Linked DNA regions of Tamandua tetradactyla. The protein of the gene in region 2 interacts with the protein of the main gene of each other region in a pairwise test. Links are inferred from orthologs where the notes say so. Each region holds a gene or a part of one and is shown on either strand. Other genes may lie near its edges.

Region 1 (3,751 bases), on a different chromosome or scaffold from region 2:
TTGTCTAAGAATCAAACTATATTAAGGCTGTTAAGTATAGTATAAAGTCATATGTGATAATTTAAATTTTTTTTTGATGCAAAGTTAGGGGAATTCCGCCCCTGCCCCTTTTTTCTTCAAACCAGATATTGTGGGGGGCTCCACTACTTAAAGCAGTCGAAAGATGAAGTAGGGCCCCCTCCCCACAGGTTCCCCCTTAGCTTCTTTAACTCCATCTCTTGAACATGCCTCTACAAAACCTCTGAATTATAGTGATATCAGTTTGAAAACTCATGGTCTTGTTAGATTCCCTCAATTGACAGACAGGATGGGACCCACCCAAGCAGAGGAGATAGATGACTCCACCCTGACCTGACTATGAAGCAATCAATTTTTAATCCCCACCAGCTGTTTCTGGATGGGACTTAGTACAGCTTATATAGAGTTAAGTAGGCTCCTGGGACGAGGTGGGGTTTTAAATGGAGGGCACTGGACCCAACGTCCTTTGCTTCCTCTGAGGTACTCACAAGCTCGCAGCACACAGGAGACATTCATTCCCATAGGTGATGTAGTTAGAGCCACAAACAGGCAGGTATGTGATGGGGCAGGGGATGGCCACCACTGGGTACTTCTCATAAATGCTGCAGTTCACCTGTGACAGACATATAAGAAGGACCTGTTTTTCTCCCAGCCCCAAGCTAGGATACACTCTATTGGACAGGCAGCAAGAATACCATCCTGGAAGTCCCAGCTCAAATATTCTGATGCTATTGCTTGTCTCTGCACCACGATGACAAATGATAGCATTACTACCATCACTTTGTTTATTATTACTACATTCAGTTAGCAGTTGCTGAGCATTTCTGTGCCAGGCAGTAAATCTGTATCTGATCTGACATTTCTTTTTTAAGTTTCCACAACTGTATAGGGTAGACTCTAGTAGTATACTTATTTAGAGAGAGGGGAATTAAAGCTTTGAAATAGAAAACTTGAGTAAGATAAGTGCAAGTAAATAGTAGAGTTGGGAATTGAATACAGAGCTTGTTCAATTAACCAAGGCAACGCTGACCAGCCTCTCGCATGTTGTACCTTCCATGAAGACTTCACCAGCCTCTCAGCTGGCAGTCATCTCTCTCTCCTTTAACACCAGAATAGGTTAACCATGAGTATATTATTACTTATATGTAAGTCATGTTTTTGCAATTACTATTTAGAGAGCAGAGCACGTTTTTCATCTGTGTCTGTCTTTTGCTAATGTCTCCCTAAACACATTGCGATTGAAATTAAAATGTTACTCAATGTATGTACTGTACTCACCCTTGTTAAAGACAGACTGGCAGCTTCTGAAAGACAAATGCATATAGAAATGTTAAAAAGAAAGTAAAGCCTTGAAATCTAATTAGTTAATATAATTTTGTCCTATAAGTGTGATAGGTCCTATAGGTTAACTATTTTGCATTTCCTCTGGCAATGAGTCTTGGCTTATACCCCCTTCTTATACAAAGTTCCAGCTATTCAGCTATTTGCTGAGGAGTTGAATGGCCAGTGGGCCAAGTGACAGGTAAATCCTTGGTTCAGGCAAAGGAGTTATCCATATTTCCTCCTTTGATTGGCCACCGGAGGTCTTCAGTAACTCATAGTATTTTGGATAATGGCCCAAACTCAAGTAACAATAGTATAAGTAGCACTGATTGCAGTCATCACTTCTTAGAGCCTGAGAAACACCATCTTTAATATGCACTCCCTCCTAATTGAGATTAAAGAAGGTAATTAAATGCCTTTAAGGTGCTAGATTTTTATTTTAATTAATTTTGTACCATATAAAAGTTTAATGGTGGATCCCTAGCTTATGGAGAATTTTGTTTTATTTTGAGCCTCCTAGATTGATCTAGGAAATCATCCAAGTTCTGCATCATTTCCCTGAAGAATAGTATTAATAACACTTTTCATTTCCAGTGTCATCATGGCTGATAGAATTATGGAGAAAGGAGTTCAACTTTTTGCTCCATGGATGGAGATCAGAATCCTCGAAAGGGAAAGACGTTAGCCCCAATTCCTCCAATCTCCAGCTGGGGCCTAAGCTTCTCCCTTTCCATACATATGCCTTTCTAGTACAAAGCGGTACACTTTAAATCCGTACAACCACACATTTCTCTCAGATGCTCCTATCCAGGAAAACAAGCTGAGTGGCTGTGTGGAGCACTGTCCACCCCTCACTCACCCGTCCTGCTGCAGAAATGGGCCACTGTACAGAGCAGAAGGAGACCTCGGACGATCTTCATTGTGGAGGCCCTGTGATGTAGAGACTGCTCGGGGGCTGTCACCACCAGCACGGTATCAGCCATGCCCAGGAGAGGCGTCACGTATATAAGCCGACATAGCTTCTCCGCCTTTCCTGTGAGATCATCCAAAGTCACGATTGTCCCTAAGAGGCTTTCTAAGCAGACGTCGCACCCTGGGTGGCATTAGAGTCCTCGTTACTTAAGTGCTACTTCCTATCTGACTAAATTGATTTGAGGTGAGAAGCATTTTTCTGCCTGCCACATAGTGCCTGGCAACTGTTACTTAGAATTCTAAACTTCATAGAGTAAAAGAGCTTTTTGGTTTAGTTACAAAATAAGAGAAAAGTTAACATTTCTTTTATTCCCCCCAAATGGGGGATATTAAACCCAGATTAGACAGATTGTACCTATGCTTATATCTTGCCTCCTAGGAAAGTGTTGTTTTATTTTTTGAGACAATGAACCTATGAAACAAGCCAGGTTCTAGTGGAGAGACTCTGACATCTCAGGTGCAATCCCTACCCTAGTTTATCATCTTTGAGGCCTTCTGGTGAATCGTAATGAAAAGACATACGAAGTTCAGCCTCTGTATCCTTTTTCAGCCTCTGTATCCTTTGTCCAAGCACCTTCATAATTGGACTCCAAAATTTCTCTTCAGTTTCCTGTTTCCATGCTCACCATGGAAAGATTCTCCATTCAGGCAAAAATCTCATACTATGTAGCTAGCAAACTGGTCAACCATAGTCTTTTTACACTGAGCCCAAAATAAGAATTAGAACCCTTCTGAACACAAGCAGTCAACAGCCATCAATCAGGGTTGTATACAAGGAAAGTATGTTTTTATAACATCTGATTTCAAGGAAAGGATATTAGTTGATAGATGTTTAGACAAGTACAGAGGAAATCAGTGAACCATTTGCTGGCTGGTTGCACTGACCTGTCACTGTTTATGTTAACCTTGATTACTTGCCTGAGGTAGTGTTTATTAGGTTTCCCCACTTTAAAGTTGATTTCTTTTCTCCCCACCCCCCTTTACATTCTGTGTTCTTTGAGAGGAAGTCACTTTGCATAGCCCCTACATAAGGACTGGGGAGTTTTTATGCTCCAACTCTGAGGGTGAAGTATCTATGTAAATTGTTTGAAATTATTCTGCCCAGGGGAGATTTGTCTCTTCTCCCTCAACTGTTTATTCATTCATTCATGTCAGTACGGACTCATGGACTTTATTTGTTTAGGGTTATAATTGAATACTATGTTATTTATTTTGTTGCTCAAATTGTTCCAGCTTTGGCCATTGGAGCTTTTTCAGTTTGTTTCTGTGTCCCTTTGACACAGCTCCACCGTTTTTTGTTTGTTTGTTTGTTTGTTTGCGTTTTAACACGTCTTTACTTTTCAGCATTGCAAGATGTTCCAGGCTCATCTTGTATATTCCCTGCCCCAGTCCTAGAATCAGTCAATTCTCTGACCCTTGATTCCTTTTTTTGGAAAAT
Region 2 (3,751 bases):
CAGTATTGGGGCAACCTCCCGCTAAAATGTATTTTAGGTGTTGTGCCAGTTTGAATCTGTGGCAAACCCCAGAAAAGCCATGTCCTTTAATCCTCATTCAATATTGCTGGCTGGGAGCTTTTGGATTGTTCCCATGGAGATGTGACCCCACCCATTCCAGGTGGGTCTTGATTAGCTTGCTGGAATCCTTTAAAACAGGAAACACTTTGGAGAGAGAGCCAGAGAGCCAGAGAGCCAGAGAGCCACAGAACCACAAGAGCCCAGGTAGCCAGAGACCTTTGGAGATGAAGGAAAATGTCCCTGGGGGAGCTTCATGAAACAAGAAGCCTGGAGAGAAAGCTAGCAGAGGAAGCCATGTTTACCATGTGCTTTTCCAGTTTACAGAGAAACCCTGAACATCTTCGGCCTTCATGAACCAAGGTACCTTTACCTGGATACCTTAGATTGGACATTTCTATATCCTTGCTTTAATTTGGACCTTTTCACAGCTTTAGAACTGTAAACTTGCAATGTAATAAATTCCCATTTTAAAAGTCGTTCTGCTTCTGGTATATCACATCCCAGCAGCTAGCAAACCAGAACAGGTACAAGTCCAAATTTCTCCCAATCACCACCTTTCATTCGGTACTAGGAGATCATAACCCATCCCCAACCACTCAGGATCTGGCCCTTTCTTCTGGGATACCACTGCCCTTTTTGGCCCCAGCCCACCCAAGGCCAGTGGTTATAACCACCCTGGAGTACTCCCCTGAAGGTGAGGTCCAGTTTCTAAGACTGAGATTTAAAGTTACACTAAAAGGAATAAAATTAAATAAGGGAACCAACGTGGATTCCAAAGATTTGTGTAAAAGAGCACTTCGACTTAGAAATCTATACTAAACACTGTACAACACAGCTAAAAGAAGCCCTATTAAATCTGGATGAAAGCCTTTCTAATCAGTTTCTAAATATCCTACATTATCACTAAAATACATCATTGTGGAAACTAGAATACTCCCCTTAAAGTGAGCAAATAGGGAAAAGTCTAAAATCACGTACCAACATAAGAAAAATACTTGAGTGGGAAACGTTTTCAAAGCAGAGAACAGCATAAAAGCCTTTAATCCTGCTACAGAAGGGCAAGCCAAATGGAAAAACTCGAGAGGTCAAAGGAAGGGTCGTGTCTGGGAGCTATGCGATTTACATAATTTATAACAGAGAGATGGAAACAACCTCCTCCTCAGTGCAGCTGTAAACTCCTCTTCCACAAAGGGGAAGAGATGTCTCCTATAATAACAAGTCTCTACGCCTTCTGGAGCTTTTCTAAATATATTCTTACAAATGCTTCTTTTAAAAAGGGCTAAAACGTGTGGCGTAGCTGATAATCTGTCTTCAAATTGAATACGAAGTCAACAAAGAAACATCCCATAGCTCAAATTCCACAGTCAGCGGGTCTTCAGAGCATACCTTCCAGATTATCACGCGGTTCACTGACTGAGAACTCCGTTACCTTATCAGTAGAGAGACCGCCAAGTGTCACCGACTGTAGAGCTATTCTCTTGCATTAAGTAGTAATCCCTCTTAGGGTAGCCAGGCCCCCATAGAATCACCACCAGGCAGCTTCCGCCGTTACTGAAACCTCCTTCAACGAATTTTACTGTTTAAAACTAAACCAGATTTCCTACCACGCAAGCATTTCTCAGGAAAGACCCACACTTCAGAGAAGTGTGCTGGGAAAAGAGAGTCGCCTACCCTGCTGGGTCCCTCGGTCCTCTAGGACTCCCGTTTCCGGCGTGGTCCCACTTGCCGTCCCTAAGATACGAGTTCATTCCTGAAGCGCACTTAGAAAGTTACCTAGCACAGGTAAAAGATCAGTAAACCTTCAAAACAAACAAGAGTGGCCAACAATCTCGCTGCAAATCGCCCCGGCACCATCCAGCCTCCTCCATTACCTGCCCTCGCGGGGCATGAACGACAGCGTCCCTATACTTCCTTCCACGTTTTCCGCAAAGTGTAAGTCACCGCGATTCCTGGCTCTTCCTGCTGGCTTCACGGGACACAGCGCAACTCCTTCGCTCAACAACACTTGCTACGATTATATATGTATATATGCATATATTTTGATAACTTTTGAGCGCTCCTCGGGCACCTGCAAAACGGCACCTACAAAGCAGATGGGTCAGAAGGCCGGCTGTCGGGAAGCTTCAACGGCTCACGCCGGGGCAGCTGCCGTGTGCTCACCCTGCCCCTCCGACACCGCCGCCGTTTTCTGAAAGCTCGCCTTGGGCGCCGTGGGCAGCCGGAGCCGGCCGGGCACGGGTGGGGGGTCAGGACCCGGGCCCCGCACTCACTGTTGTACTGCACCCCCTTGGCGAAGCGCCGCTGCAGTGCCTGGTTCATGGACTGCAGCCCGGCGGGGATGTTTTTGTCTCGGACCGGAGCCTGCTCCGACCCCACCAGCTTCTTCAGGGCGGAAAACATCTTCCCGCTGGGAAGTCCGAGCCGGGCCTCGGCCGGAGAGCTCAGCGGCGGCGGCGGCGGCGACGGCGGGGCGGCGGGGCGCGCACCATGTCCCGCGGCCCGTGGGCCGGGCGCGGGTCTCCCCCAAGGCCGGAGCCGGGGTCCCGGCGGCCAAGGGCGGCGAGGGCGCCAGGGACGGCGCCTGCCTCGCTCGGCCGCTCCGTGGCCTCAGGCGCGGCGGCTCCGATCCGGCCCCAGCGGCCTCCAGCACGGCCGCCCTCCGTCTGCCAGCGGCGCCATCTTGGTGGGAAGCGAGAACGCGGCGGTTACGGGGCGCCGCGAGGGACACGGGCGTGAGGCGCGCGCATGCGCAGGGCCGGCCCGGGACGGCGGGCTTCCCGAGAGCACCTGGTCTCTCGCAGCCGATCGTCTACCCCCAGGGCTTCCAAACCACGTGGACCCCGACCGCACCTCCCCTCCGACCCCCCAGCTCAGGGCCAGAAGCCCAGATTTACGCCGGACAGCCCTCTCGTCTGCAGGTCTTCCCAACGATACCCCCAAGATCCCACTCTTTGCCTGTTCATTTTCTCCGAGACTCCGGTCTCACCCCCAGTGACTCTCCTCCAGTCCTGGAAAAATGTTTATTTGTGTAACAAAGAGCTGGCGAAGGGGTGGCAGGACGGGGCTACTTCTTCTTCTTCTTGGCCCCCTTGAGCTTCCCTTCTATTAGCCGCTGGCCCTGCCTCTTGATCTCTGCCCGCGAAGGCACGTAGCTGAGGTCCACGTCGGCGAACTGGAAGGTTTCTGCAGGAGGGGCGGTGTCCTGCAGCCCCGCCCTAAGCCCACGGACCCGCCCGCCCCCCGCCGCGGCCGCACAGGGCGTGGGCCACCGCCAGAACCCGGCGGTACCTATCATATCCTCCTCCAGGTCCTCAAAGCTGATCCTGGTGTTGTACTTCTCCTTCAGAGTGGACGACTCCAGGATGTCCCTCACCTTCGTGCTGATCTGTAGGCCAGAACACCCTTCAGCTTTGCAAGAGCTGGCCGGCGGCGCGGGACCCGCGTGCCGGGCGCCTCCCACCCGCGGCTACCTCCTCGGTCCTGGACAGTGTCTGCACCCTGTCGATCAGGTACGTGAGCTTCTCCTCGCAGTAGGCCAGTTTGCTGTACACATCGAGGGTGCCGGTGGGCGCCGCTTCTTTCTGTGGGCAGAGAAATCCGTGGGATCTCCCCTCTGCCGGCCCCATCCTACCCCGGGGAGGACTTGGGCCACACCTGGGTCGTGGGCCCCGAGATGCCGATCAGACGGATG

What was found.
Region 1: the proteins of RABL6 (region 2) and SPINK7 interact in binary tests that used the Homo sapiens proteins (3 or more experiments, as listed by UniProt). The link is inferred for Tamandua tetradactyla from reciprocal best matches to the Homo sapiens genes RABL6 and SPINK7.

The regions. Positions count from the first base shown.
Region 1 is NC_135346.1:29,147,711-29,151,461, reverse strand, and holds the start of SPINK7 (serine protease inhibitor Kazal-type 7), read right to left. Parts: upstream 2,353-3,751; 5' UTR 2,325-2,352; coding exon 2,201-2,324; intron 1,323-2,200; coding exon 1,297-1,322; intron 632-1,296; coding exon 507-631; intron 1-506. UniProt on the Homo sapiens protein: Probable serine protease inhibitor.
Region 2 is NC_135328.1:131,291,663-131,295,413, forward strand, and holds the start of RABL6 (rab-like protein 6), read right to left. Parts: upstream 2,531-3,751; 5' UTR 2,461-2,530; coding exon 2,331-2,460; intron 1-2,330. Other genes in the region: CCDC183 (coiled-coil domain-containing protein 183), read right to left, coding at 3,125-3,243, 3,349-3,445, 3,531-3,641, 3,715-3,751. UniProt on the Homo sapiens protein: May enhance cellular proliferation. May reduce growth inhibitory activity of CDKN2A.